4 linked regions of the Struthio camelus genome follow. Each later gene encodes a partner of the first gene's protein in a complex. Links are inferred from orthologs where the notes say so. Each region holds a gene or a part of one and is shown in the gene's direction. Other genes may lie near its edges.

Region 1 (7,631 bases):
AGTTCGTAATTAAAAACAAACAACTCGGCCACAGTGACAAATCAACCCTGGGCTGAGCATTTCTATGTAAAGGAGCTGCCTCTGGGCCCCAAACAGGTACAGTTGTTATTAAAAAATGACAGAACTATTTAATTTTTTCTCTCACAGCGCTCAGGTGCCTGCCCACTGGTATCACTTGTTTGCCTGGAAAACTTCAGCTTCGCTTGATCAGATGGAGCAAATTTTGCCTGGTGAAGCTGTTGTTCCTTGTGGCCTTACTGCCTTTTCTGAGCAGAAATCTTTTGCATTTGCTATTGCTCGCTCCAAGCGCCTCTGGGCCCTTCTCCTTCCACGCTTGTGTTCACTGACATCCTGTGAGCGCCAAGGGCCAAAGATTAACACAGTAAAGTAGGATAAAAGCTCATGAATTTCAAGTTTGTGACTTTGTTTACTGATGTCCCCCCCCTCCCCCCCCGGCAACTGCAGAAGCTCCAGAGTCTGGTTGCTGAGCCGATGCCTCGGCAGCCTCCCCTGTGCCGCACAGCGCAGCCAACACCTGATGATGCTCTAATTTGCTGGAAGGGTTGGAACAGGCTCCTTAATTAAATCTTGCAGGATGAGCCAGGTGCCGGTGCAGCTGTGGCCTTGTGCACTCGCCCTGGCTGCAGCCCTGCAGGGATCCACGGAAAGGGCAATGCAGGCGCCTGCTGCCCCGGCCAGAGCCCGGACCTGGCTCCTGGCAGAGCGTCGCGCCCTGCACGCAGCCCCGTGTCCGGCTGTGCGCCCGCAGCCCCGAGGGACGCGGCAGCGGAGGAGCCGCTTGCCCAGCCTGGAAGTGGCACCGGCACGTTGTGGCTGCTGGCTGGAAGGGGCCTGTGCAGTGCTTGGCCCCCGAGGAGAGCGGAGGGGGAAGCTGCGCCCGTCGCCGCGGCCCGGCGGTGATCAGCCCAGCGCTGCGGAGGTGCCCGAGCTCGGGGACGCAGCGCTGTGCTCAGCAGCAGGTGCTGGTGGCTCCGGCAGGCGCTCGCAGCCTGGGCATCTGCGCTGACGCCTGTCCCCGTCCCTGGTGTCCCCTGGGCCTCCTGCAGCGTCCGGCTGGGCCACGCAGGGCGGGCGGGTTGGGATGGCGGCTCCTTGCCACGAGCACGGCCGGGTGCATGGGGCCCTGTGCCGGAGCTGGGGCGGTGGGGCGCAGTGTGGGCACGAGGGGCTGCGCTGTGGGGTGGTGCCGGGCAGGGTCCCCCGGGGCCGGTGGAGGATTGAACCCTGGCTCGGCTGCCGCTGCGCGGGGATGGCCATGGCGCCGGGGCTGGGGGCTGCCCAACCACGCAGGTGCTGCCGGGGCGGGAGGTGCGCTGTGGCGAGCACGGACGGGACTGGGTGGGCTCTGCCCGGGGAAAGGCTGGTCAGTGACAACCGCAAGCGATGTCTGTTGTATCAGCTGCTGCCCTGCCTGCGCAGGACCCTGGGCTGTGCCCTGCCGCTGGCACTGATGAGCATGGCAGCTCTCGGGGTGCAGGTTTTGGGGGGGGTGGGGAGCAGGGACATCAATTTGCCAGTCACAGTCAGCACATGATTTTCCATGGAGGGGCTCGAAGCTGCTGTGGGTGCCTGGAGGGCACCAGCCGCTCATGCCGGTCCCCAGCCCTCTGGGGCCCCTGCGCAGGGGCTGGCAGGGACCAGCTCACCTCCCTGCCGCCCCTTGGCTGCCACATGCCTGCGCCAGCCTGGCTCCTGCCGGGGGGGTGGGGGGGACACAGGGGCGGCTGGGCCACTGCGACGCCGCGTCCTGCAGCTGCCGTTAGCCCTGGCACCGTCCCAGCTGGGTGTCCCTGCCCTCGCAGCCCTGGCTTCGGGGCCCTGGGCACAGCACCCAGCCCAGGTCGGGTGCTGCCCCCGCTCTGGGGCTGGGCTCAGGGGGCAGCCGGCCTCCCTGTGTGACCAGGCGCCTGCTGCAGCGAGGGGCTCAGCAGCTACAGCAGATATGTCCCCTGTAGCTGCTCTGCTGGCTGGCGCCTGCAGCAGCTGGCATGAGCTGTGCTGGGCATGGGAGCGCACCAGGCTCAGGCGTCCCCTGCGCCCCAGGGCTGGTTCCCAGGCAGGGCAGGCGCCGCGCCAGTCCGGTGCACCCGTCTCACCAGGACACCTCCTTGGGCTGTTCCGGTGCCCCAGGCCCTGCGGCCAGTCCCAGGGCTCCTCGCGGCCTGGGCTTGGTTCCATCCCCCTGTGCACGGGGTGGGGGGCTGCTAAAGCTCCTGCCGCTCCAGAGGAGGTACAGCCGCAGGCTGGTGCTGCTCCGCCTGGATCGTGGTGCGGCGGGTGCATCCTAGACCCCAGTTGTGCTCCCCCACCCCACAGACCGTCTGTGACAGAGCAGCAGCTCTCCCCGCTACCCCCAATGCCACCACAAGGACACAGGAGATGGATCCAGTCCAGGCGCATTTATTGTCAGAACTGCGGGCTCAGTGAGGTCGCGCTGGGGCCAGCTCACACATCCGTGCACTCCATGGGGTCCAGGGATACGGTCACGTCCGCCTTGCACTGGAGGGCACCCGGGGCTCCGGGCAGCACCTGGCAGCTCCGCAGCTTGGGGGACACATCTGTCACACACGGCACCTGCAGGGGAGACTGTCAGCGGTGGGACTGGCGTCTCTGGGGAGCGCGGCGCTGTGGGGGCGGGGGGGGGGGGCGCTAGGGAGCCCTCCATGCCCCGGGGCCTCGCGGGCGGGTGGCCCCAGTCCTGGTCCTCGATGGGGCTCAGAGTGCGGCAGGGGCACCTGGGAGCCCTGGGGTGCTCCCCATCCCCGTATGTATCCACACCTTGGAGCCCTGCCAGGGGAGCTGGGGCACCCTGGCACCTGCCACAGCCCGCAGCCTCGCCAGGGGATGGGAGCTCCCTGTGCCCCACAGGCAGACGACTCGGTTCCGGATGCTCGCTAAGGTGCGGAGCCCCACGGGGCACTCCAGGACCCTGACGGAGGTCCCGGTACTTACCGTGCTGCAGAGCCCCACAGAGGACCCGGGGAGCCGCCCCGCCGCAGCGCCCACCGTGCCCCGGAGCTCCGCGCGGCGGCGCCGGTACTCACCGCAGCGTGCAGCTGCACGCGGGGGCCGTGCTCGGCAGCACCGTTGGGGTCGGAGCGGTGGATGTAGGGCGAGTGGCGGATGCCGGAGAGCAGCCCCGAGGCTCTGCCCACCAAGTAGTAGCTGGGTCCGGCCGCCTGCTTGTACCAAGGCGCAGCGGGGCGGCACAGCAGGGCCAGGGCCAGGGCCAGGGCCAGCCCCAGCCAGCGGACAGCGTGCATGGTGCCAGCAGGACTGCAGCAGCTCCAGGGCTGCTGCTGCTGCCTTTATAGGCAGGTTGGGGGGGGGGTGACATGCCACCTCCTCTGCGCCTCCCCCGCCGCAGCCGAGCAGCCCGCCTCCCCGGGGTGGCATTGCCCGCGGGGAAGGAGCTGCTCGACCTGGCCCCGCTCATTAGTGGCCCCGCTCGCTGGGGCGTCCTGGCACCTGCCCCAGGCAGGGCTCCCGCCCGCCGACACGGCTGGGCTGCGCTTTGCCGGGGGGAGGCTCGGAGCGCGTCCAGCCCGTGGGGAGCCGGGTCCGCCCGGGGGTCCCAGGCTGGCGCAGGCTGCACCCCGCGTCCCCTGCCTGCCCCGCCGTGGGGGCCGGCGGCTCTGCCCGCGGTCTGAGCCCCTCCAGAGCCCAGCGGCGCCAGGGACGCTGGAACAAGCAGATCACAGCAGCGAGTTTACGGGCAGCAGCGCAGGTAGGGAAGTCGCAGCTTGGGGCCCGGCCGTCACCGCAGCGCCACGCAGCGGGGCGGCAGCCGCCCCAGGGCCGAGCCCCGGCCCCGAGCCCCGGCCCCGAGCCCCAGGGCGGCTCTGCCGGCGGCGGCCGGGCCCGGGCGCGGCGTCACTCGCGGAACTTCCACTCCTGGCGGCACATGGGGCAGTGCTGCTGCACCTGCTGCGAGTGGAGCCACTTGAGGATGCAGTGCATGTGGAAGCAGTGCGAGCACTGACCCCACACCAGCGGGCAGTCGTCGCCGGGCACCTTGCCTAGGACAGACACCGCGGCGCGTCACGGCGCGTCCCGTCATGCCGCGACATGCCACGCCACGTCACGACATGCAACGTCACGTCACGGCATGCCACGTCACGTTACACCGCAACATATCACATCACACCCCGGCGAGGCACGTCACGGCGCGGCGCGACACGCCACGCCACGTCACGCCTCGACACGCCACGCCACGTCACGCCTCGACACGCCACGCCACGGCATGTCACGTCACGTCGCGGCGCGGCGGTACTCACAGTCGGGGCAGCAGCCGTTGAAGGCCATGCGGCAGATGCCGCAGTTCTCGTCGTTGGCCACCCAGAGCCAGGAGGCGACGCCGTTCCAGCCGCGGATCTTCACCCGCATCGCCGCCCGCCTCGCCTCGCCCCGCCCCGCCCCGCCGGAAGTCCCGCCCCTCCCCGCCGGAAGTCCCGCCCCCTGCCCGGCCGCATCGCCGGAGCCGCCGCCGCCCCATAAGGCCCCGCGCGGCAGCGCGCGCGGCTTGCCGCGCCTTCGCCGCCAGCCCCGCCCCCTCCGCTTCCGGCGTGGGCGCAGCGCGGCCGGAAGTGCAGGCCCCGGAGCGGAGCCGCCATCATGGCCGACAAGATGGACATGTCCCTGGACGATATCATTAAGCTCAACCGGAGCCAGCGGGGCGCCGGCCGGGGCGGTCGGGGCGGCCGGGGCCGGGGAGGCGCCACCCGCGGCGGCGGGCCCGGCCGGGGCGCTGTGGGAGCCGGGCGAGCGGGCGGCGGCGGCCCCGTGCGGAACCGGCCGGTGATGGCCCGGGGCGGCGGCAGGAACCGGCCCGCGCCCTACAGCCGGGTACGGAGCGGGGCGGGGCGGCGGCGGCGGCGCAGCCGCGCGCGGGGCCGGGGCCGGGGGCGGCGGGCCGGGCGGGGGGCTGGGCCGGGGCAGCGGCGGCGGCGGGCCGGGCCGGGCCGGGCCGGGCGGGGGGCGGCAGTGGCGGGGGGCGGCGGCGGCGGCGGGCTGCCCGGCGGCCCTTTGTTCGCGCCGGCGGCCCCGGGGCGCGTGGCGGGCGGCGGGAGCCCCGGCCCGGCCCCGGTCAGCGAGGTGGCGGTCTCGTTGCAGCCGAAGCAGCTGCCCGAGAAGTGGCAGCACGACCTGTTCGACAGCGGCTTCGGGGCGGGCGCCGGCGTGGAGACCGGCGGGAAGCTCCTCGTCTCCAATCTCGACTTCGGCGTCTCGGACGCGGACATCCAGGTGAGCGGCGCCGGCGGCCCCGTCGTGCGCGCGGCCGGCATTGGCGGGGGGATTCATTCATAGCATCTGCTTCGGGCGCTTCCTGGGGATGCTGTAGCTCTTGAGGTCCCGCTGCTTTCTGTGGCCCAGAGGGGAGATCTCCAAATCCTTTAACTCTAGGTTTGTGGTTGTATTTGTGCCATGAGTATTTCTTGTGCAGTTGTTCTGAGGATGTGAAGGTAACTGCAATTCAAAGAAGCTGCTGGCCTCTTCTGATCTGCGGCTATTAGCATTAGCAAGAATGTTTGTGTGGGAAAATATACTGGTGTTTGCCTGAATCCATCTGTGGCTTGAGAACTTTGTATAAACTATGTAAACACAAGTTGCATTTCCCTGTGAATTCAGTAACTATACTATACGTACATCAATTTGCTTTGTTTTTATGGGACTTGTTTACATAGTTTCTTTGTTCTAAAGCCACGTTCTATTAAGCGTGAAAGTATTCCTATGTCAGCATCGATCAGTGAAATTAAGAAGGCTTATTTGTCGGGGGGGACATTCCCCCTTACGTTGTGATATCTATAATTACCTTGTATTTCTTACAGTAGTTCAATTTTCTAGCTGAGTTGCCATGTCGTAGTTTCAGCTCTGCTTTGGTTAAAAATCTTCCAGATGCTTTAAGTCAGGTATATGGTGTGATTTGTCTTTATGGCTGAATTGATCAGAACGGAGATTGAAATTGGTGGACCCACCTAGCTATAAGGGTGCTGTAATGTATGGGCAGTAAACTGTACAGCCACAAACGTTTGCAAATGTAAGGTGCATCCCCACTAGGGGGCTGTGCTAGTTAGGTTACACTGCAAAACACTTCACTTTAAGTTGGCTTTTGGTCCCTGTGCCTCCTGCCAGAAAATAAACGCTTTTTCATCTGTTAGTTCGTTTCAGCTACCTTGTAAGTTAAGCTGGCTACGTCTGGAGAATTGAGAGCGAGTGTTTTTTTCAGGTCACCGAGTTGACGTTTGTTTGGGTAATGCACTTAAGGCCACTTCTTTTTTCCTATTTAAAGTTAGCTTTGGTTGAAATAAGTTCCTTGTTTACTGTAGTCAGGCCCTCATGTATAAAACGTGAGTCTGTGAAGTTGCTTCAGTTCAACTAGTTTTTGTAGGGGTGTGTGTGTGTGTGTGGCAGATGGGTATGTCTTTCTCGCTGTTGTTTTGGACTATAGGTGCTGATGAAGTTCCACGTGTGTTTTATTTAGCAGCAAAGCTGACTTAACAGGCTTGTACCTATTTGTTACTACTGCCTCATAATTTAGCACTTCCTGTGCTGGCTAGTTTCCTTGTTTTTATGCTAATCGGGTCATTAATGAGGTACAAGGTAGCCCGGGAGTTGTATTGCCAGGAATGGGTGACTGGAAGGAACCTAAAACAAGCTCTTGGAGAAGACATATATAGTGTCATACCCCGACCCACCACTGCTGCTCATGGAGAACCAGGGTTTTCTGTAGCACAGTGAGAGAGGCTGTTCCTTAAGACGTTGTTGAGCAGCTCTTTGTGTGTGCTGCTCCGTATTCCAGATGGCTTGTACAGAGTGTTGTGTTAACGTGCACGTCAGTTAAATGAATACAAGGTAGAAGCTGGCCTGCAATCTTGCCTGGAGTGCTGTTTGCTTAGGAAGTAAAAGAATATCTGTGTTGCTCTTTTCAAATACTGGAAATATTGGAATAATGTTCAGGCGTTGCAGCGGATAACATGAAAGGTGGCAGGCAGTCTCCCTTTGGACATCCGACAATTCTGGTGTAGATTTTGAGCTTTCGAGGCACTAGCTATAATAGAAACTTACAAAGCTATGAGATGTCCCTAGTTGATTTACCAAAAGTAGCACCCGCGCAAAACAAAATTTGTGGCTCTCTTGCTGCCTCTGCTCGTTTCCACCCTTCAAGACAGTGAGTAACAAGAGGGCATACTTCAGTAGAGGACTCCTCCTAAGCTCAGTTTTTGGGATATGTTCTTAAGCTCCAAGATGACAGGATTGGTTTTTTTAAACTGTAACTGGTCTAGCAAAGATTTTATAAGAGAAGTCCAGCACATAGAAACTATGATCACCTTGTGAATCACTGCATTCATAGAAATAAAGATCATTCTTCCTCTGTGAAATGGTTTAGGGTCTGGATTATTTTTGAATAGCAGCCCTGTACATGTAGTCTCGGCACAAAGATGTGCAGCTTCCCTGGCAGAAGCGGCAGGTCAACACCCCTTGACCCTGCTCCACTGGCTGTATGCACACACCCAAGTATGCAAGTAGTGTCTTACTTGCTTTTGCTGTGTGTAGCCGCTTCCTGAAGTTCTTCTGTTGGGCTTATGTTTGCTCTTTCAGAGATTCTTCTT
Region 2 (7,214 bases), on another chromosome or scaffold:
CCTGGTTGATCAGGCTGCAGCAGAGCAGGGCGTCGCAGCCAATGAGGCGCCGCCATCTTCGCCTAGCTCCTCTGATTGGGTGTTGCCATGTGACCGAGGTGAACGGCCTCTGCCCAGCTCGTGCCCCTGGCCGCGCTCTGGGACCCCCCCGCCCCCGGCAGCCAATAGGGCCGGCCCTGGGGCGTAGCCACGACAGCATTGGGGTGGGCGTGGCAAAGCCCGGCCCAGTACGACAGCCAATCAGAGTCGCCGCTGGAGAGGGTGTGTGGCCGGCGCGTAGCCACGCCCCTGTGCCGAGGGAGGGGTGGGTGGCCGCCGCGCGTGGCCCCGTTGCGCGGGATGATGGCGGCGGTGCGGGTGGCCAGGAGCGCGGCGCGGTGGCTGCGGGCGGGCGGCGGCGGCGGCGCAGCGCGGTGAGAGGCGGCGCCGGGACCCGGCACCGGGACCCGCCCCGACCCCGGGGACCCGCCTCTGCCCTCAGTCCCGGGCACCGGGGTCCAGCCTTGCCCCCTCAGCCCTGGTCTCTGTCCCCTTCTTCCCCCTTCCCTCAGTCCCCCATCCCTTGTGCCCTCCTCCCCTTGTCCCTCTGTCCCCTTGGTCCCCCTTTCCCCCATCCCTCTGTCCCCCCGTCCCCTTGTCCCTCCATCCCCCATCCCTCTGGCCCGCCATCCCCCCGGTCCCCTTGTCCCCCCATCCCTGCCCTCCACCCCTGCCACCCCCGCCTCACGTCCCCATCCCCTCCGTCCCCAGGCCCCCCTCACACGGGGCTGCCCCACGCTGGCTCCCCGCCCCAGGACATGTCCCTGTGTCCCTGCGCCAGGACACACGCAGCCACGGCCGGCCTGGCAGCACCCCGTGCTGCAGAGGGGGGTTGTTTACCCTGCCCCCCCCCCCCACCCCGTGGTTAATGTGTTACCAGCTGCCGTGCAGCGGGCCAAGGTCCGGCCGATGACACGGCATCCCCGAGGAGGCTGGCGCAGGGCAAGCCTCCCCTGCGTGCCACCGCCCCACCGTGGCCCCCCCCAGCGCTGCCTCCCCGAGCCTGCAGGCAGCCCGGCGGGTGCCACCGCCGGTGCCCCCGGTGTGGCGCAGGGGCCTACGCCCTCGCGTGATACCCAGGAGCCTCTGCCCTCGTGTGACACCCAGCCACGCTGCCACGAGTGTCCCTCGCCCTGGGGAGGCTCTTCCCCGTGGGTTGCCCGTGCCCTGAGTGCCTGGTGGGCTGCCCATGCCGGAGCGGGACGAAAGCGGGTGCCAGGGAGCCTCCTCCTTCACAGGGCCCCAGTGACACGTGTGCTAGTGGCACACGCGCGTCCTGGCTCCGACGGCAACATGCCACCAGCAGCCTCAGACAGGCCAAAAAAACCCAAAATCCAGCGCTGGGGGAGCTGCTCCCTGGTTCCGAGCGCAGCTCTCCTGCAAGGCTCTGGACAAGGCATTTTCGCGCCTCAGTTTCCCTCTTTGCAACACAAAACGAATGAAACCAGCCTCCCACAAAGCCCTGTGAGCCAGCCAGTGCTGTCTGTGAGCGGATGCTGCTGGCTGCCTGCAGACTCAGGAAGGCAGAACTGCAAGCAAAACTCCCTCCTCGTTCTTATCGTAACCGATGTCGCCCCCCAGGGTGACACCGGCGTCTCGCAGGGGCTACGCGGGGACGACCGAGGGCAGCTGGCTGCGCTCACTCTTCGTGCACAAGGTGGATCCCCGCAAGGATGCTCACTCCAACCTCCTGGCCAAGAAGGAGACCAGCAACCTCTACAAGATCCAGTGTGAGAGGCGCCGGGGGCAGGCAGGGCCAGGGGCACCTCGGCACAGCTCCGCGGCACCTCCGCACCCCGTTATTTGGCCGTTTGCCCCATTTCTGTCCCCAGCTCAGTGGCTGCTCTCCACTTGGGGCAGCTCCTCCCCGGGCCTCAGCTCCTGCTCTCACCCTCTCGCCCTCTCTCCCACAGTTCACAACGTGAAGCCCGAGTGTCTGGACACCTACAACAGCCTGACGTGAGCCTCCCGTGCGGGTCAGGGTCACCCAGCGTCCCTGCAGGGAGCACCCAGGGGGCTACTGAGGCTGGTGCAGGGCTGGGGGAGCTCACACCGAGCTGCTTCAGGAGCCCCCGGCAGGTTTCTTATTCTGGGCCTCAGTTTTCCTTCCTGTGAAATGGGTGCAGGGAGCTTCCCGCAGGGGTGAGGCCAGGTTGCGTTGGGATGCAGCCCCTGGCTGCCGCCTGCCATCTCCTGGGCGTCCCCTGGGGCACAAGGGTCCCCTGCAATCCCCCATGTCCCCGCAGGGAGGAGGCGCTGCCCAAGCTGCACGCGGACGCCGACTACCCCTGCACGCTGGTGGGCAGCTGGAACACGTGGTATGGCGAGCAGGACCAGGCAGGTCAGTGCGGCAGCATCCCTGCAGCGGGGGCACAGCAGCACTGGGGCCTCGGCGGCCTCCCGCCCTCAGGGAAGGGCCGTGTGGGCAAGGGAGGGTACAATTTTGGGGGGGAAAGTGGCAAAACAGAGCTTTGAGAGGGTGCTGCTGGGAGCTATGCACGGCTCTGTCCTGGTATCACCCGGCCGCCCGGGAGCGAGTGCTGGCGGGTCCCTGGGCTCGGTGGCACCCCATAGGTGCCTTGTCCTTGCAGTGCACCTCTGGCGCTTCTCCGGCGGGTACCCGGCACTCACCGAGTGCATGAACAAGCTGAAGCAGAACCAGGTAGCACTCAGGGCGGCACCGTGCCGGGGTGGGGGGGACACTGGCGTGTCCCTGGGCATCCCCATGGCCATCCGGGCTCCCCGCAGGAGTACGAGGCCTTCCGGCGCGAGCGTAGCAAGCTGCTGCTGGCCCGTCGCAACCAGCTGCTGCTCGAGTTCAGCTTCTGGAACGAGCCCCTGCCCCGGCCTGGGCCCCACGTCTACGAGCTGAGGACCTACAAACTCAAGGCGAGTGGCCCCACGCGGTGCCGGGGGCAGGGGTGCAGGGAGCCACCCGCTCAAACGTTGCTGGTTTGCTTCTCCCTTTCCAGCCGGGGACCATGATCGAGTGGGGCAATAACTGGTAAGGAGACAGCCTGGTCTCTGCCTCAGTTTCCCCCCTGCCCCAGGCACTGCCTCAGTTTCCCAGCTGGTCCCGTCCTTGGGGGCCGTCCTCCACTCCCTCGTTCCCTGCACAGTCCCTGGGGCTGTGGACAGAGGAGGAGGAGGAGGAGGAAGAGGAAGGCTTCTGGCACCCCACAGCAGTTCTTTCCCCCCACCCCGGCCAGGGCTCGGGCCATTAAGTACCGGCAGGAGAACCAGGAGGCCGTGGGTGGCTTTTTCTCCCAGATCGGCGAGCTCTACGTTGTGCACCACCTCTGGGGTAAGTGGGCACCCAGGGGCACCCGTGGGTGCTGGGTGCTTCTGCGCCAGTGTGAGATGCTCTGTGTTGTTGCCCCCCCCAACCTCGCTCCCTGCAGCATACCGGGACCTGCAGTCACGCGAGGAGACGAGGAACGCGGCATGGCGCAAGAGTGGCTGGGATGAGAACGTCTACTACACGGGTGAGCGTGGCGGCAGGGGCACCCATGGGTGCTCAGTGTCAGGGGTCACCCGCGGTGACGTCCCCCCGCCGCCACTGGCTTTGCAGTGCCGCTGATCCGCAGCATGGAGTCGCGCATCATGATCCCCCTGCGCATCTCGCCCCTGCAGTGAGCCGGCACCTCAGCACCGTGTCGCCTTCCGTGCCCCTGGGGCACGCCGGGGTCCCCGCAGGGCACCCAGATCCCCTACCTGCCCTGAGCACCTACTTGGGGTAGCCCATGGGGATGGGAGCTGGGGGCGCCCCTGCTTTCCTCTGGGGGCTCGGCACCATGTCACCTCCTGTCCCCCTTGTCCTGATCGTCCCCCAAGGCTCACTGGGGCAGGGCCAGGGTCCCGCGTGGCACCCAGCTCCCCTCGTCCCCGGAGCACCCATTGGGGACCCCTTGCAGGGACAGAGCCAGGGACACACCTCAGGGTCAGGAGCTGGGGACACCCCCCATGGGGGACGGGAGCCAGGGACACCCCACAGGGGACAGGAGCTGGGGATCCGCCATGGGGACGGGCCCTGGGGACACCGCATGCAGGACAGGAGCCGGGGACACCCCATGGGTGCTCCCACTCTGGGGTCTCCCCCCTGCAGGGTGTCCCTGGCACCCACCGCTGTCCCTGGGGTGGGAGCACCCATCTCTGCGACCCCAGGAGGTGACAGTGGTGTCAGGAGGTGACAGCAGTGGCCATGCACTGCCAGTCCTCTGCTCCCGCTGCTGCTGGGAGCCCCAAGTTCTTTGGAGGACAGTGTTAATTAGCACTAATGAGCCCCGGGCCATGGCCGGGCCCCGGGGGCTGCACCCATTAAACATTCGATGTGCCCATGGGTGGCCCTGTCTGCGAGTGGGGGGCCGGGGTGCGTCCCAGGGGGGTCAGCAGTGACGAGTCCCACCGGGGCCGCTCCCATGCGCACAGGTGTCCCCTGCACCACTGGGGACCCCCCACCCTGTGGTCCTCAACCTCAACAAGGTGCACCTTCATGCCCGTAGGTGCCCCCCATGCCGATGGGTGCCCTTCCTACACCAGGGCCCCCCTCCCATGTCTGTGGGTGTCCCCCAATGCCAATGTGCCCCCCACCCCAAGGAGCCTCCCAGTGGCCATGGATGCCCCCATACATCAAACCCCCCCTATGCCCATGGGTGCCCCCCAAAGCCAATGGGAGTCACCATGCCCAAGGGTGTCCCCCTGCACAAAGGCCCCTCCCATGCACTTGGGTGTCCGTCATTGCTAATGGGCCTCCCCCCACCCCAGGGAGCGCCCTGATGCCCATGGGTGCCCCCCATTCACAAGGCCCCCCCATGCCCATTTGTGTCCCCCAGTGCCAAGGGGGACCCTCACTCCAAGGGCCCCCCCATGCCCAAGGGTGCCCTCACCCACCAGTGGACCCCTATACACCAAGGGGTGCCCCCCAATGCCAAGGGGGACCCCCACCCATGCCTGTGGGTGTCCCCCATACATCAGGGCCCCCCTCATGCCCATAGGGACTCCCAAAGCCAATGGGACCCCTACCCCAAGGAGCCCCCATGCCCATGGGTGCCCCCCACACACACCAAGAGGACCCCCATGTCTAAGGGGCTCCCCTGCACCAAGAGGCCCCTAATGAGCCCCCTCAGCTCCCCGCCTCAAATCCGCTGGTGCCTCCAAGGGGCACCGACCTCCGGGGCTGGAGGTGGGGCGACTATAAGCCCCGCCCCTTTGGGCCAGACCCGCCCCTCGGCCGGGCCCCGCCCCCCTCGGCCCGCGCTCCTCCCGGCGGGCCTTGCCCGCTAGAGGGCGCCTCTGGCGGCTGCCGCTCTGCGCCGCGCTCGTCTGCTCCGTGACGTCACATCCGGGCGGCGCTGAGAGGGGCTGACCGGTGAGCGCGGGGGGCCGCGGCCGAGCGGGTCTGCGGCGGGAGGGGGCTTCGCCGGGGGCAGCTGGGGCGGGGGAGTGTTGGCGAGCCGGGCCTGGGCCCGGTCAGTTGGGGGGGAGGCGCTGAGGCCCGGCGGGGGAGGTCCTGGGGGACCCAGTGCGCTGGAGACCGAGGGGGACCTAGGGCCTGGTGGGCAGTCCTCCGTGAGTTGGGGGCTGGGTTGGGGCAGGGAGGAAGCTGCGAGGCTCCGTGATTTCGGGGTCCAGCAGGGGCCCAGGAGAGCTGCGGCAGGGGGGAGCCCGAGGCCCAGCGGGGTGGGGAACAGGGGACCGGGAGAGCTGGGGTGGGCGGGAGGCCACGGGGCCTGCTGAGTTGGAGGCTGTGAGGGAGCCAGGGCTCGGTAGGTTGAGGGCTGGGAAAGCCAAGGAGAACTGCAGTTGGGGGTGAGAGGCTGTGGGGATCAGTGGGTTGGGTGTCTGGAAGAGTTGGCAGGGGGGAGGCCCTTGTGCCTGGTGGGTTGGGGGATGGCAGTGGGCCAGGAGAGTTGGGGTAGAGGGCAGACCCTGGAGCTCAGCAGGTTGGGGGTCTGGTGGGGGGCAGACACCAGGGCGCGGTGGGTTGTAGAGCTGGAAGAGGGCAGAGCCTGGTGCCTAGCCTGTCGTGGGGCAGGGGGAGGGCCTAATTTATCGGAGATTGTCAGAGTTTGAGATGGGCCTGGCAGACAGGAGCCTGGGGGGCCCCATTCTGGGTGCCTCTGTCCCTCTTCACATGCTCACTTGGTTCTTTGTCCCCCAGCCCTGCCAGGCAGCTCCCGGCAGCACCATGTCATCAGATTCCAGCAAGAAGAGGAAGCCCAAAGTTATCCGCACCGATGGGGGCCCACAGGAGGGCAAGCGGGGCAAGGCCGACGCTGACCAGGTGGGGTGCCCCGCAGCCTCTCCTGGCGCCCCATGCGGGGAGGAGCTGCCTGCTTTCGCAAGGTGCTCCTGTCCTGCTGCATTATGAGAAGCTGATACCAAAACTTCCTTTTATTGGCCTCATTCCCCCACTCAGGCAGCTTGAGTGGGGTCAGAACCAGCCAAATCTGAACACCTGCAAGACTCCCACTCTCAGTTTCTGAGCGGGTTTTCTCCTCCTGGAGGAAACGCAATTCCCATGGAGTCAAATGTTGCCTTTTGGGACATAACAGGCAAGTCTGAGGCTGTCAGGTGTTTCAGGGATTTGCAGGTTGCCTTAAAACACTCCCACAAAGATCAGAATAACTTAGTTTTAGTCAAAGTGGAATTTAAGGTTGAAGAAGTAGGTGTGCAGCCTTGATAACAATCTGCGCTGGTGCAGGACAGATACTGGTCTTAATTTACAGTGATGATATAAGAGGCCTAAACTTTCCAGGCATTTGTGCCCCGGGTGGTTAAACGAGTCACTCTCCGCTGCGCAAGCCCCCTCGAGTGTGGGATGACTGGGCTGAGGCAGTGCTCAAGATCTGGTGGTTTATGTCCAGGGCACTTTAGGAGGTGTTTTTACCCCTTGCAGGATGCTCGGTACTACAGTGAGGAGGGTGAGGTGGATCTGCGTGACCCCATCAAAGACTACGAGCTCTACAAAGAGACCTGCCAGGAGCTGCAGAGACTCATGGCAGAAATCCAGGAGCTGAAGAGCAGAGGCATTAAGGACAACGTAAGGAGGAGCTGCAGTGCTTTTTCTGCATGTGCTTTCCTGTGATGTTTCTTCCTGACCCAAGAGGAGCAGGAGCCACACGGCATTCTGGGGAGAATTAGGAAAATGGGACAGTCTCTGTTAAATAAAGTAA
Region 3 (7,593 bases), on another chromosome or scaffold:
TGCTTGCTTCACTCACTGCCGCCAGACAAGGCAGCACTAGAGACCCTGAGGATCTCCTTGGCTCTGCACCACTTCCTGGGGCCAAACAGCAGCGACAAGCTCAGACTTGGCAAATCCAGTGCCGTTGCTGGAGCAGAGGTGTGGGCCCACACAGCTTAGCGGGAAGGACAAGCTGCTTCCCTGCCCATCCAACAAATGCCTGGAAAGAAAACAGAGAGCAGTCAGCAGGGCAAAACTAGCAGAGAAAACCCGGAATCTTTCAATACTAAAAAGAGGCTGCAGGCACCCCACAGATACTGGAGAAAGCTCTACAAATAACACCAAGCTGCCAGGAGGTGAGATGTCCTGAACTGTCCCTCAGGCAGCCAAAAGGAGCAAGCGGTAAAGCAGTCTGATCTCCCTAACAACCCAGAAAACTCGGCATCCACAGAAACACTAACACTGGAAGTTATATAGTATCAGATGGTCTTGTGAAAAACATCAGACTAGGACTGCCAGACAACTTTTTGTTTGATCTAGGAGCTAAAATTGGGCTGGAGGCAGCTTAACTCTGCCTACTTCAGAGGCAAGCGCGATTCAGCCAAACTGACCCAAAGAGCAGCACCCAATTGCCAGAGACCCCATGCACAACTGGTAACATCTCCAAGAGTACCAATTTCACACCAAGTTTGGATGCCTTGCCTCACTCAACACTTACCTCAAAGTTGTAAGCCAAAAGAGCCTGAAACGCTTTGTGTTAGTCTTTTTTTTTTTTTTTTTTTTTTTTAAAAGAGTAGTTTTGCCCAGGATCCTGGACGGAGCTCCTCTGGCTGCTGGGGGAATCAGCTATTCACTTCTGCCTTAACGCACTGAAGTTGCAGTTACTTCTAAAGCATTTGCAAACACCTTGACAGTCCCTGGGATTAAAAGCACTAAGCAGAGAGAAATATTTTACATCAGTTAAAGCAGGATGAAGTTTGCTCTGTGCACTAAACGGGGGACAACCTTAGTCAGGAAAGGTGCAGAGATGTCAGCACTTCTGAAGCCCATGTTAGAATTGCGGTCATTTTTCCCCTCTGCCATGAAGTGCATTCCTCTCTCTCCAGTAAAAAAAAGAGGCTTGGCAGCGCTGCGTTATTCTGTATTATCATCCCGATCCACCTGCACAGGGTTTTAACTACTCAGACAGCTCTGGAAGGAGTCGTTTACTTACCGTACAGCGGTGAAGTCCAGACCATCCCCAGGAACTGCCCGGCAAGTGGAAAACTGTCCCCAAATCACTGCCCTCAGGTGCCCAAGTCACCTCCATTAGCGGCTCTTAAATCAGCCCCTCGTGAAACGAAACATCTTGGCCTGAATCACTCTCAGCAGAGCCCCATTGTTCAGCCTCCTTTTTGGGGGGGAAAAGGACAGAGAAACCTTCCCAGGCATGACAGCTGGATTTCTGTCTGGATTCTCTGCAGGACGTTTGTGTCACACTGCCCTTACACACTGTCCTGCATAAGGAACTGGCAATAACTTGTGGATCCTGATAATTAATGGAAATCACCTCCAAGCAACTGCAGATCAAGGCCTTGAACCAGGATCTTTAATTTTAAAGGAAAGCCTTCTTCCTTTAAACTCATCTCGTCAAGCGCTAACAGCCTTGGCTGCTTGAGAGGCGTTGGTGTACCCCGGGAAGAGAGCGTTGCATGGCTGAAAAAGCCAATCTGGAACTCCTCAGTGCTCACTCTGCCATCCTTGTCCAGTTTAGTGAATAAATCCTTGAGTTCCTAAAGACTGAGGTCAAGAGAAGAGAAACCTACCAGCTTCAGAAACACAGCTGCAAGCATCCAAACCAGCTTCTTAAAGGAAATCCCATTTTATTTTTTGCAGTGCAAACAGAACACACAATTAAAAAACCCTCTTTGAAAATTAACACTGCACTTCTTCCATGCACGTACAAAGAATCAAACTCCTCTCCGCCAAGCCTGAAACACTAGCCCAGTGGTGGATCCACACAAGCATGAAAACCATTTGAACCCTGCTCCGGTTCTGGGAGAGAAGGGATTAAGGCCCCCATGCCTACCCCAGGACCCCAAAGAGATGTGCGTTCACCCTGGACATAGCCTTTCATCTTGGAAACGGCAGAATCTTCTCAGATGCACAGCGAAAGGACAAGATATAACAGGCACAAGCTGCAACAAGGAAAACCCTGACTGGCCATAAGGAAAAAATTCTTCCACCTGAGTGTAGTGCATCCCTGAGACAGGTCCAGAAAGGCTGTGCGGTCTCCATCCTGGGAGATGTTCAAACCTTGACTGGACAAGCCCTGAGCAACGTGGTCTAGCCTGGAAGCTGGCCCTGCTGCGGTTAAGAGGACTAGACCAGAGGCCTTCAGAGTTCCCTTCCCACCACTACAGAGCAGCTCCTCTCCAGAGGAAGCTATCTCTGCCTCCAGGGAAATGAAGCTGTGCTGGAGTACACCGGCTGAGGACCAGTGCCTGTGCTCTGCAGGATGCAAAGGTTGCTTCGGACCATCATTTCGACTGTACGCAGTCAATGCACAGCAAATCCCCCTGCCAGTCCTCTCGCAACAGGCTGGCTCCCAGCCTTTCCCCCCTGCTCACCTTCTTCCTGAGCTCCTTCAGCCAAACGCTCTTGCAGACCAGCACCAGCCGAGGAATCCCTTGCCTCCCACACCAAGCGCCTCCCGGAGAGCCTGGACTTGAGCCTCAGCCACGTCCAAGCAAGGGCTGGGCACACGGCAGGGGCTGCAGCCTAGGTCAGGCTTCCAGGTGAAAACATGGTACGAGTCTGCCGTCCTGAAAACAGCCTTCCCACCACGTTGCCAGGGCCTTTACCGCTTTCACCCGCTTCGTTCGCCTTCGGGCTCTGTAAAAAGAAAGAGAAAAGAACGTCAGCCGCTCTCTGCCCCGGGGCGTGGGTCACGCACCCCAAACCTGCTGTCACTCCTCAAGGGTCCAGTTCCTCACAACCGTGTCCGCTCGCAACTGAAGCGGTACCGACCCACGTTCACCTGGTGCACCCCAGGCACCCTCAGACATGCTGGGCCTGGAAACACCCATTTTTCCATGACAGCTCTGTTTCGGCACGTCAAATGGAATTCTAGCTCAGGACTCAACGACCGTCCTGCCAAGTAGGAGAGAACCTTCCCCCGTGAGAGCTGAAGGGTTTGTTCAGAGATCAGCCAAGCAGCTGTCTAGACTGGTGGAAAGAGGACGAGGATGAAAAAGAAAAATCACTGCTGAAGGAGGAGAAAAAGGGGAAAAGAAGATGGAAGATGTAAATCTTGCTGAAATCCCAGACAGGAACGGAAGACGTGGGGTGCAGCACGCCCAGATCCAAACCCTCTGCCCCAGAAGCAAACCTGGAGACCCAGCTCTGTCAAAACGGGACCCCTGCTGCCTGCAGGACACGGGCAGAGGAACGGCAGGGACAGGGCTGGAGCCAGGCAAAGCAAAGCACGCTTTGCTCTTGGCTTCTCTCAGCTTCCTCTACAAATCTCTTTCTTTTCCCTTGTTTGACACCCCTGGGCTTGCACGGGGGTGATACGGGGGCTGAGAGCCAGCCCGTCCTCCACCCGCACGTTGCTCGGGGTGCTGCTGGGTCTGGGGCAGGACGCCAGGGTGCGCATGGGCAAAGCGGGTCCCACATGCAGGCACCTTCTGAAATACCGCTTTTGAAACAAGGGCGAGCCCCCGCGCTACCTGCAGTGCCTCCACGAACGAGAGATGGCAAAAGCACGCAGGCAACGCAAGCCGTCCGACCGCAGCGTTTCTCTCGGAGCGCCTCAGAGAGGCAGGATTTTTCCCAAACGGCCGGCGCAGAGCGGAGGTATTTTCATCACTCTTTGACGCTGGCCGTCACCTCACGAGCTCACAAGCCACCGACGCCTTCGCCGCTCCAGCCCCGGCCTCTCAGCCGCCGGCCAACTCTTTGCAGGGTACGCGTCGGCTGGAAGCCTCTTTCAATGCGTTTTGGGGTACGAATGGCCAAAGCAACGCAAATGAAAACAAACCAGGCTGGGAAAAAGGCCCGTTTTTATTTCCTCGCCGGGAGCACGGCTGCTTGGGGTTTCCACGGTAACTGCCGATTCCTGGCCGGGGAAATCTCTCTGCGCCAAGAGCCTGACCGAGGGCTACGACGCGCCGGGCGCTCAGCACCTTCGGGAGACACCTGGCCTAAGTAATTTTTTTTTTTTAATTTAGGTGTGTAAACACTGATTGACAGCTCCATTCGGGGGCATTTTTTGTTTTCCTTAAGCGGGCTCAGAGCGCTCATCCAGAGCTCATGCTGGGAGAGGAGAGGAGAGGAGAACAGCTCTTCCGGGCCGTTACAGCGAGCGGGAGTCCTGCCGCTAAAAATAATAACAATTAAAAAAAAAAAAACCACCAACAAAGCAAACGCTCAGCCTTAATCGGTAAAATATTTCAGTCAGCAGCAGCAGAAACGCAGCCCCACCACGCCCCTGCCTACACGACGACTAGACGGAGCCGCCGCCGCCCGCACCAAACCGGACAGAACCGGACCCAACCGGACCGGCCCGGGCCGCCTCGCGCGGCTCCTACCTGCCGCCCGCGCCGCCCCGCCGCGCATGCGCGCCGCCCGTCCCGCCCGTCCCACCCCCGCGGTGGCGCATGCGCGCCAGGCCGGGCCCTCCGTGCGTGGCGGCGGTTGTGCCGGTGCCGCTGCGTGCGCGCGGGGGGGAAGGGAGGGGGGAGACGGCGGCGGCGGCGAGGAACGGGCCTCAACAACGATGTCGGGGTCGGCGGGGTCCGGCGGCGCGACCGGCTCGGCGCGGAAGCGGCTCATGAAAGAGGAGGACATGACCAAGGTGGAGTTCGAGACGAGCGAGGAGGTGGACGTGACGCCCACCTTCGACACCATGGGCCTGCGCGAGGACCTGCTGCGCGGCATCTACGCCTACGGTGCGGCCCGGTGCGGCGGTGGGGGGGAGGGGAAGAACCGGGAGCGCGGCGGCGGCGGCGGCGGGGGGAGGGGGCTGGAGGCGCGCGGGGAGGGGGAGGGGCGGGCGGCGGCGGCGCCCGGATGTTGGGGCGGCGCGCGCATGCGCGCTGGAGCGGCGGCGCACGCAGCGTTCCCAGGTGGGGGCTTGAGGCGGAGGGGGGGGCGTGGTCTGGGTTGGGGGCGTGGCCACCATCGGATGGGCGTGGTCTGGAGGCGGAGGGGGCGTGGCGGGGGGGGACCGGGGTGTCCCTGGCCGCCCTGCCTCACCGCCCTTTCCTCCCGCTGCTGGCAGGTTTCGAGAAGCCGTCGGCCATCCAGCAGAGAGCAATCAAGCAGATCATCAAAGGGCGGGACGTGATCGCACAGTAAGTGGAGCCCCCCCCCCCCCCCCCCCCAGTGCACAGAGCCGGGCTCCGATCTCCAAAGGCTTCGGAAATACCCACCTGTTTGTCTTTATGAAGCTGGGGGGGGGGGGTTGCCCAAAAAGATGTGCAGTGAGTTGAGGGTGCTGGACGCCAGATGAACCGCCCACCGTCGGGAGGAGCTGGCGCTGCACGCGGCTCTGCTCGGAGCTGGCGTGGTCAGCGCTGCGAGCACCGGTGACGGTCCGTGCCCGCAGCTGGAGGTGAGGTGCGTCGATGGCGTTTCCCAGCCGTTGCTTGACGTGGCAGAGGACGGGGGAAATCACATCGTAAACGCTGTAGGGTGAAACAGGCCACCCGACATGCAGACAGTGTTCCTGACAGCGCTGGTAATATCTAGCCAACCCAAGTGGGTGATGTTCTAGATGTGCCACTGTGATAAACATTCAGCCAAGATGCTGTGTGTTCTGAATAAACGGGGGTCTGAGACTCTTGGGAGTGGTTTCCAGCAAAGCTAGAGAAGTACAGAGACACGTGCGGTCTCTCGTCAAGGGAAAAGAAGTAAGTAGAAACGATCTTGTATTTGTCTCCGGAAACAAAGGGTATACATCCAATTGAAAAAAAAATTTTCTCAGTCACTGGTGGAAATCAATAGCCTTCTGAATTGTAGCATATCTACTGCTTTACTTTAAAAGAAAAGAAAATCTTGCAAGGCAAATTGCAGAAAGTTGAAATGCTGGTGCAGTAAGGGGTAAACGTGACAGTGCTGGGACCCTGCAGTAGAGAGTACTCTAGCCCTGAGATTACATTTCTTAAAGCTGTTTTTCTTACCAGTCGAACTTGTCTTAGCAAGTTGTTGTTTGCAATATTCACTTCTTTGCAATGAACAAATGGCAGAAAGCTACCTTTGGGCAGAGGGGTGAGAGATGTATGTTGAAATTGCCTCTATTAGCTGTTCAGAAGAAAAAGTATTTACCAAACACCTCTTTCTCAGGTCACAGTCTGGAACGGGGAAGACAGCAACGTTCTCCATCTCTGTTCTGCAGTGCCTAGATATACAGGTGACTTCGCAGCACATGTTAAAAGAATTTTTAAAGTAGATCACTGGCATTTTCATTATAAAAGCCTTCATTTGGCTAGAGTGAAGGAATGAAGCTTTAAACTGAAATCTTTTAATTATGGGCAGTGACCTTCGGCCAAAATTCTGACTGAAAATTTCATCACGCTCTGTTGCTGTCAGGATTTAACTGTTAAACCCACCTTGACAGAATAAAAAGTTCAGATAAAATCTTGCAATTATAAAGCTGCCTTTTAACAGCTAATCTTTTCCAGATGCTTTTATTGACAGCATTAGATGGCTAAATTAATCTTCCAGCAGACAGTTGTCCTCAAACAGTCCTAACATCATCATCAACCTGTCCACGAACAGGTGGCACATATTGCACAGAGTCGAGCCAGATTTTTGCCTGACGGATGTTCATTTTTGTTCTAGTCAGGAGTATTTTGTTCGCCCAAATGTTTTTGAAATACAACTTATTATATAGGTGCACTTGAACATTAGCATGATTTTCTGTGGACCAGTAGTCCCTTAAATTAAGCTTTGTCATTCACTTGGTATTGCTTGGGGACATAATTATTAGCTCCCTGTTCTGAATGGAGAGGTCAGCTTTTCACCTCCTCTCTGTAAAGCGCTCAAAATATTTCGCAAATATGATACTTTAAAACATTGTCTTGGCATCCTTGAACAATGCAAAGCTTTTTTGCCTGAGTTGAAAGTATGAAAGTTAAGTCACTTGAAAATTTGTTTTTATTCTTTTACAAGAAAAGCACACTCGCTTTTATAATTGTTTTCAGAAACGAGGTTGGAATGAAAAATGAGGTGATGAAATGAAGAACTGCATCTTGTCAAAAGTAACTTACATAAGCAGCTGTTCCTGTGTAAACGCTTTGTGTGGGAGCAGCTTTCTAGGTGAACTGACCCTTCCAAGCAGTAGGTTTTAGCACAGAACTCTGTAATTAATCCTTCAAACGTGACATTGTGGAGCACTGTAGGATCTGTAATCTCGGTTGAGCTTGATCAGCCATGGCCATGTGATTAACTGAGCTGTTTTAATCAGGTTCGCGAGACCCAGGCATTGATCTTAGCCCCAACTCGGGAGTTGGCTGTACAGATTCAGAAGGTAGGAGCATTTAAAATGAACTGTACCTTTGGATTTCCCATTCTTTGTCTGTAAAGCACGCGTAAGGCCTGGGGTCAATTCTTAGGTAGTCCCTAGTAGAG
Region 4 (7,634 bases), on another chromosome or scaffold:
ACATCAGCGCCAGAAGTTGAACCACAAGCCAAAACTGCAGCCACCAAACCGAGCGGCTGTGACTTTGCACCTAGGTTTTCTGTGCAAACACTTCCCTCCACTGGTAGAATAACTAACTGCAACCACGCTACTCAAGCAGGAAAACATAATGCTATCTATACTTTGAGAGATTATTTTAATATTTAATTTAAATAAGAGTACATGTAATTTTAGTACTTGTTTGCCTCTTCCAAAAAGGAAAAGATATTGGGTCTTTTATTTTTCACTACTGAGGAAACAGGAGTTTGGCAGAACGTGAGCTTTTCAGCCAGATATAAAATAGCACACCCAGGAGAACGGGGAAACCACACTGGGGCAATATGCTTGGCTTTCTTTAGGTTTCCCGAATTAAAATGCAGGCTAAAGCCACGACGATCCTTCACACACACAAAAAAGGGAAAACATCAGGGGCATACCATTTTCTAGTGCTTCTGCCAGTTCTGTCAGACCCTCCCCTCACAAGCAACTTTGCTGATTGCAAAGTCTTCTCCTCTGACACCTTCCCCCCGCAGAAACACCTCGATAGCCCCCCACAGTGCCAGCCCAGTCTGCTCTGCCTCCGCAAAGCAGGAGCGCAGACAGGAACGGCCGGGCCAGCGCAGGCACAGCGCGGCTGTGGGTGAGCCAACCTGCTGACCCAGCTGCCTTAAGCGGCAGCTATGAATGATCCCTTCTCTTAGCAAGGCAGCGAGGGTTAATCGCGGCCTGCTGGTGCCTGGCAGCGGAAAGGCAGGCCTTTAACCCCCAAAGCTCCGTGTAAGAAAGGACTGCGGTTCCAGAGCGGACTTTTGCTCGCAGCGGGCTACTAGAAATCAAAGCATGTATGGGAAAGCTGCAAGCAATAACTCCGAGGCGTTCCCAGAAAGCGTGGTCCCTTCAGGGATTCAGAGACAACAGCAGAAGACAACCGCGGAGACACTGAAGTGAGGAGCCCGACATTGGCAGAAGGGCTGCTTGCTCATGTCATACCTCAGGCAGCACACCTGACTGAAAGCCTGACGTTTTGCTATTGCAAAATGGCAAAACAGGTGATGCAATATATGGAGGGCTTCAGTTCTGAGCTGAATTCGTCAAGCTCTCCTAGGGTTTTAACAGAAAATAAATGACTACTAAAGAAGGAGAGTTAAAAGGAGATGAAACCAATTGGCTGGTTGGCTATCTGCAGTGCAGACCAAGCCAGCAACGCAAAAGAGCACACAAATAGCCAATATTTCTCTTCTTGGAGAAAAAAATCACTATTTGAAACTCAGCTGAAAACAATGTTCTTGCTCAACAAACGACCACTTGTAACTTAGCTGAAAACAGTGTTCTGACTCCACTGGGAACTTCTTCGGTATTGTTCGGCTGACATGTTTTTCCTATTTTCAAACTGGTAGGAGTTGTGTGTGGGGAAATATATTTGTTATGGAACTCTGCCCTTTGCAAGTTGTTCGTACGCTGCTGAGGGTGGAAATGTCAACAGAAATAAAGTTCTCCTCCCGCCTTCCCAGGAGACCATAACAGCAACCTGAAATCTTACCATGAGATTTAGCTAACAAAAACTACAGGATGAGTTTACTTGTATTTGAATCAGGACAATCTCAGCCTCTCTTGACAGCAAAAGAGGGAAGGGGTGCAGAAAAATGAAAATATCTACCCCATTTTTCAGCAAGACAATTATCTATGCATCTTTTCTAGGTGTTTTGTATAGGATTCATCTCACTTAACCTTAGGTGTCTAAATTTGGGCAAGTGACCTGGGCTTGTGTTCTGATGCATGCAGAGAAACGGGTATTCGTCAGGTATTATTCCTCTGGCTGATTTTAGATACTTAGCTTCGGCTGAGATGGCTCATGCCTTAGAAATGAGTCTAAGCCAGTATCTCTTCTTCAGTACAAAGGACAACAAGGATAATGTGCAGGACAGTGAGAGGAACCCCACCGCTTTTTCTGTGAATGCAATTTTAGACTGCATCCAGTGCCATTTTAGATTTGGAAGTGGCCTCCCATCTGGCCTGCAATGGCTGCTTCAGAAGGACCTAGGTCTCCTGATCCCTAGTTCCTACCTGCCAGCCCTGTGTAGGTGTCTCCAACAGCCTGGGATGTCTGTAATGGCACCGGGCACCTTTGTTTACCAACTGCAATTGCTCCCTGTATTTCTAACTGTAAAGTAGAACCGCAAGGGTTTTTAAATCTATTTTCAATATGAAAACTAGATAATTCCTGGCAAACTTTCACGCAATTATATATTCTGAGGGAAGAGGGGGGAGGAGGTTTCCAAATAAGTAAGACAACCTTTTCCTCTTCTTCCAGTTATTTAAAATTATTTTTTGTGTTTTGTGAGGAAAGAAAGAAAGGAATGGAAGGGTAAGAAGGATGGGAGAGATTTTTAAAAATAAAAGCCAAAAACAGAATGATAGCAGAGTTTTTCAAATTTAAATCCATCATATAATCGTGTTTGATTTTCTCAATTAAAAAAAAAAAAGCGATATGGAAATACTTCTGGCAAAATTGCACTCTTCATGATGTTCTATACTTTCTTACGGACACTACCTATTTTTGGCCAGAGCTACAGTAAATTCTTCAGAAAGGGATAATATCGGAGGACCTGAATTGGGCCTCAGCTCTATTCCCGTAGGGTCAGAGTTTAGTGTCCTTAGGAATCATCTCCAGTGGAGTACAACAGAAGGGAGCCAGCCTTCTCCCTTCGGTGGTCAGAAACCAATGGATCAGCTGCTTGTGGAGCTGCGGTCCAGCAGTGACCAGTAGCGGACGGTTAGAGAAAGAGCGCTGAGAAAGGACACAGTATGAATGGAGAGACCACTCACTCGTGGGGGCAGCGCCCCCCTGGTTTCTGGCGGACGAGCACTCCCCTCCCAACAAAATAGAAGTAGGGGTTTCTACATACAAGGGGAAGAAGCCTACCTTCATTAAAGAACAGAGTTTTAACTCTCAGGGTCAAATAAATCCATTTGATGCAACATGCATTCACTGTATTGAGGACTTTAAATATAAGGGTAGCCATACATCCAGGAATGCAGGCATTTTGCCTACACTGTGACAGCCTAGACAGACTTAGACTGGTTTATTTAGTGCTAGCCACATACCTTGAAATTTATCACCAGGATGGGCTGGTGGGCTCAGCCAAATATCTGGGTATTTAATAACAGTGATTGTTTTTGGAATTTCAGCACTGGTACGAGCAAAGTTTTTTTCTGTCAGGAAGGGGAGTCAGATGCTTCTGCTTTGCCAGCAGAAGAGAATGCAGGATCAAGAAGTGATGGGAGAAAACCGTATCTCCAGTTAGCTTTGAAGTGCACCTGGGCATCCTAAGAAAGGATAGATAGGAGTACATTTGGGAGGGTTTTATGGCTGCATATCACATAACAAGGTTTCCCAACTAGTAGTTGTGAGCCTGGAAATGCAAATGGGAGAGGGATCCCAAGCCTGGAAATGGATTGTGAACAGCCAAGCTTGGGAACTACCATTACTTAGGATAGCTAGAAAATGTAAAGTACTTAAAGGCATTGAGCCACACTGAAAAAGATACATGTCGAAATAAATATTTATTAATTTGTGCAGGGCTATTTCAGACATTTACCTATGAAACACTCAGTAAACTCCCATTAAAAGTGATTCTCAAAAATGTAGCTGGAGAATATTGTTCAACCTATGAGTTATCATTGAGGCAATTTTACCAATGACATAAAAAATTCTGAGTTATATTTAATGTTACTCTTCCTTCAACGATACTTTGAACGTGACGGTAGATTGTGACTCTGATGTCATTATTAGAAAAAGTAACACAACTTCATTACCTGAAAACCCCCTTCCCTGCACGTTAACCTTTTACAGTTGTTTTTATTTTGACAACATCCTACTAACGGGATGTTCAGTAACACATTCAGCCTCTGCGAAGCTTGACATGCTGCTGAAATGGGATGTGGCCCAGGAGTGCATGGTGGGAGACACACCAACTCACTGCCCTCTTGTTCACATGTCAGGCAGATTGCAAAACCCAGTAGCTTCCTTACAAGTGCTACACGGGGCTCTAAGGATCCCACCAGCACTGGAAAAGACAGAAGGAATACTCAACTAAGGTCCATTTATAGATCGAATAGGTACAGAAACAGGTATTTTCAGCTTCCTTCAGCATAAAGTGGCAGAACTTTTGGGATAACGTGACAAACTGTTACAGGCCATGTTAATTTTGCATGCTTAATGATGATCATAATGCCAATTTGTGCAATAATATTTTCCGCTTCCTTTGAGATCCTAATTACTCAAACGAAGCAACAAAGGAAGAGTTTGTGTTGGGGGGGGGAAGTTCCTAAATTGTTTTTCACCTCAGAATGAAGAACGAATAACCTAAAATTCATGTATCTTCCTCAGAAGACGTAAGGGTTATTTTCACCCAGATAGAGATCGCTCAGAAATGACTCATTCACCAGATGAAAGTGTTGACTCTGGAGTGATACAGGTTATCAGAAACGTTCTCCTTCTTTGCATAACTATTCTTTGACTGCATGCTTTTTAAAAAAGCGCCGAGTCACATAGGGGACGTAACCCACCGCCCCACCCGACAGCAAAGCCAGCCCCCCACGGCCACGCCCCCCCCCACGGCCGGCCCACGCCAGGACCCTCATGACGCTAAAGTCAGGCGTGAGGCGAGGGTGACCTGCCGGCACCGCCCACGGGCGCCCGCGGCCTCGCCACCACGGGCAGCCCCCCCACCCCTGTCACGAGTGGGCGGGAGCGGGGGCTTCGCCGTGGTTCTCGCCGGCTGGGGGGGGGAAGGGGACGATGGCGTCATCAGCGCGCGCCGGGGAGCGTCGGACGGCCGGGACGATGTCGCCGCCGCTCTTCAGCCTGCCCGAAGCTCGGCTCCGGTTCACGGTGAGCGCGGCGGCGGCGCGGGCTCGGCCGGAGCTTCTCGCCCCTTCTCCCGCCATCCGGGAGCGGGTCCGAGCCCGGCCGGGCGGTAGGGCCGGCCGCTTCGCGACGGTGTAGCCGCTCGGCCTCGGCGCGCCGCCCCTCCCCCTCTCTTTCCGCCTCGGCGCGCGCACCGCACCGCACCGCCTTTGCCGGGCTGTGTGCAGGCGGCGCGCGCCTTCTCCGCCAGTCGCCCCGCGCGCTCCCTCGGCCGGCCGTTACCCGCCTCCAACGGCCCGCTGGGGCGCGCGCCGAGCCCGCCGCGCTCCCTCGGCCGGCCGTTACCCGCCTCCAACGGCCCGCTGGGGCGCGCGCCACGCTCCCTCCTGTCTCCCAAGGGTCTGGCAGTCCCTCCAGGAGCCTCTCAGCGCTGCCCAGCGTCCCAGTGTAGAGTCATGAGCGTGGGAGGAGAAGGGAGGCTGTGCCCAGCGAGTTTTCTGGGCTCGTTTGGGTTTCCCAAGTGAACAGGGGTTGAGGAAAGGGGGAGCAGCAGTGAGACAGCGGCAGGTTAAACGGATGCTCGGGGCTCAGGTGTGCAGCTGGATGGAGGAAAGTACCACGTTGAAGGCTGAACTCACCTGCCCTCCCTTCTGCATGAATGGACCTGAATGGAGTGCAGGGGAGAGTTTGACTTGACGTGTATGCCAATTTTTTTTTTTTGCTGGCATGAAGGAAGTTGGAGGAAAGTGTACAAACTTTACTTCTTTGGTCTTTGATGCAAAGAGATAAACTTGACTAGCTGGAGAGAGAGAGAAAACTTTCACTGCATTCACAGTGTTATAAAGGCACGTAGTAATGTTATGACAACAAGAGTGCTAGTTTTATGAGGTCAAGACAAATGTAAAGGGCAGAAGAAAGGACATTAGAAATCTATATTAATGAACTTAAGTTTTGCTATGCTTTTGTATAACGTAACATACAAGTTGATACCTCACACCATTGCCTACCGCACCCGATTGCTGATTCACTAAGACTGAACAAATCAGTGGCCCAGTGCTGTGTTCTCTCTGGTGGGGGAGAGGGGATCTTGACAGATGGTTCTTCCCTTTCCTGTTCTTGAGTGAGTTTACCGTCTTAGTGCTGTTCTTTGTGAGCATTAACTCCCATTAACCTGTGTTTATGCTATCATGCTAATGCATGATAGGCCTTGTCAGGTTATGCATGATATGACAGTAAAAGTCTCCTAGTTTCAGTTCACCTTGTCCTAGTTGCATATCCAGGTTTTTTATCAATATCAGTTTCATACAGAAGAATCCTCTATCTGCAAAAAGTCTGCACAGCAGCAGCTAACAGCAGAACAAAAATTCGAATGTTTATAACAGATGCAGCTGAATGATGCTTAAGTCCAGTAGAGCATGTGTTAGGCACGGTAGGCCTGTGGCAAAACTTCAGCTGTGTTCTAAGTACTGTAGCAACCCGTTATAGCTGGGATATCTTTCTGAAGAGGAAACTGTGTTTTCATGTAATGAGTGCTAAACTCAGTGGTATAAATTTTTGGGCAGGAGTTTTCGTACCAGTTTAGCCTAACTAGGTGAGCTAAAATGAGAATAGTATCCGTGGTTTAGTTAGCTAAAATTAATTTAAAATTAAATCAAAATCTGATGTAACTCAACGTTTGCAGTAAAACATGCCACAGCTTGTCGCCCTTATCTCCTTTGCGCCTCGACTGAATGATGCTTTTTCCTTACTAGAGCAGACTGAGCTGGATGTGTACTCAAGTGGTGGTGCAATTTATTGGACTTTCAAAGTAAGGTGTTGAGATTTGTACAGAAATAGTTGAGGCACAGGCAGTTATTCCGTTATATTGATTTCATTACAGGGAATTTTTAGACCAGCTTGCTAACAGAAGTAATGTTTTTAAACCACCATGAGTTGCCTGTCTGGCAGGTGAAAGTTTGTGTATGGACCTTTCAACTGTTCTAGGTGCAGCATCAGCCATAATAGCATGCTCCTTTATATTTCACTTGGAAGTGTTATTTTCTGCATACCATTAGCCCTAATTTGAGGTATGATAATCTACTAGGTAATATGGGTAAGTTGTTAATATATTTTCTTTTGTAAATCGATGCATGGTATGTCACAAATAGATTCCTTAGTATTTCTGCTTTCTGTCAGATGAAGGAAGAAGGTGATCCATCAGAGTAACTTTGGTTGCCTAACGGTTTTGTAATTTTTTTTTTCACCTTTTGGTAGACTTCCACTAGAGAGGCTCTGAATAACAAAACCATCAAACCCTTGTTGAATGCATTCAACCAGATTCCTGGGAGGTAAGTAGCTGCCACTTGATTTTAAAAAGTGGCTATTCAGATCATTTTTACTAATCTTTTCTTTAATAGTTGTTATTAACTAATGTAGAATTTTTGTATTTGCAGTGAAAATGAAAAAAAGTGCACCTTGGACCAAGCTTTTAGAGTTATTGTAGAAGAAGAAATAGTAAGTATTTCACACTGCTAGAGCCATCTGTTGATGTAAATGAAACTTCTGTTTGCAAGTTAACATATAGTAATTTAACAACAACTTAACTGAGTTGTAGAAAATAGTGTTTATTAAAAAATATGAACTATGTAAAAATTACATAATTAAGATTTAATATAGACAATTAAAGAAGATTGGTAGGTAGGATGAAATTGCTAATTTTACAGATGCCGCACTGCTGAGAGATGCTGACTTAGCCTTTTCCAGCAGT

The links.
Region 2: ALYREF (region 1) and THOC5 share a complex: the UniProt entries of both Homo sapiens proteins name them as parts of the transcription/export (TREX) complex. The link is inferred for Struthio camelus from reciprocal best matches to the Homo sapiens genes ALYREF and THOC5.
Region 3: ALYREF (region 1) and EIF4A3 share a complex: the UniProt entries of both Homo sapiens proteins name them as parts of the ALYREF/THOC4-EJC-RNA complex. The link is inferred for Struthio camelus from reciprocal best matches to the Homo sapiens genes ALYREF and EIF4A3.
Region 4: ALYREF (region 1) and THOC1 share a complex: the UniProt entries of both Homo sapiens proteins name them as parts of the transcription/export (TREX) complex. The link is inferred for Struthio camelus from reciprocal best matches to the Homo sapiens genes ALYREF and THOC1.

The regions. Positions count from the first base shown.
Region 1 is NC_090960.1:401,427-409,057, forward strand, and holds the start of ALYREF (THO complex subunit 4), read left to right. Parts: upstream 1-4,615; 5' UTR 4,616-4,635; coding exon 4,636-4,866; intron 4,867-5,133; coding exon 5,134-5,265; intron 5,266-7,631. Other genes in the region: NPB (neuropeptide B), read right to left, coding at 2,467-2,595, 3,066-3,284; ANAPC11 (anaphase-promoting complex subunit 11), read right to left, coding at 3,895-4,040, 4,299-4,407. UniProt on the Homo sapiens protein: Functions as an mRNA export adapter; component of the transcription/export (TREX) complex which is thought to couple mRNA transcription, processing and nuclear export, and specifically associates with spliced mRNA and not with unspliced pre-mRNA.
Region 2 is NC_090958.1:5,143,058-5,150,271, forward strand, and holds the start of THOC5 (THO complex subunit 5 homolog), read left to right. Parts: upstream 1-4,200; 5' UTR 4,201-5,407; intron 5,408-6,199; 5' UTR 6,200-6,226; coding exon 6,227-6,322; intron 6,323-6,937; coding exon 6,938-7,081; intron 7,082-7,214. Other genes in the region: NIPSNAP1 (protein NipSnap homolog 1), read left to right, coding at 340-413, 1,621-1,769, 1,953-1,998, 2,286-2,380, 2,631-2,701, 2,788-2,928, 3,012-3,043, 3,249-3,343 and 2 more. UniProt on the Homo sapiens protein: Component of the THO subcomplex of the TREX complex which is thought to couple mRNA transcription, processing and nuclear export, and which specifically associates with spliced mRNA and not with unspliced pre-mRNA.
Region 3 is NC_090944.1:139,884,968-139,892,560, reverse strand, and holds the start of EIF4A3 (eukaryotic initiation factor 4A-III), read left to right. Parts: upstream 1-4,580; 5' UTR 4,581-4,738; coding exon 4,739-4,910; intron 4,911-5,242; coding exon 5,243-5,315; intron 5,316-6,306; coding exon 6,307-6,373; intron 6,374-7,429; coding exon 7,430-7,492; intron 7,493-7,593. UniProt on the Homo sapiens protein: ATP-dependent RNA helicase. Involved in pre-mRNA splicing as component of the spliceosome. Core component of the splicing-dependent multiprotein exon junction complex (EJC) deposited at splice junctions on mRNAs.
Region 4 is NC_090943.1:120,102,855-120,110,488, forward strand, and holds the start of THOC1 (THO complex subunit 1), read left to right. Parts: upstream 1-4,619; 5' UTR 4,620-4,819; coding exon 4,820-4,912; intron 4,913-7,141; coding exon 7,142-7,215; intron 7,216-7,320; coding exon 7,321-7,381; intron 7,382-7,634. UniProt on the Homo sapiens protein: Component of the THO subcomplex of the TREX complex which is thought to couple mRNA transcription, processing and nuclear export, and which specifically associates with spliced mRNA and not with unspliced pre-mRNA.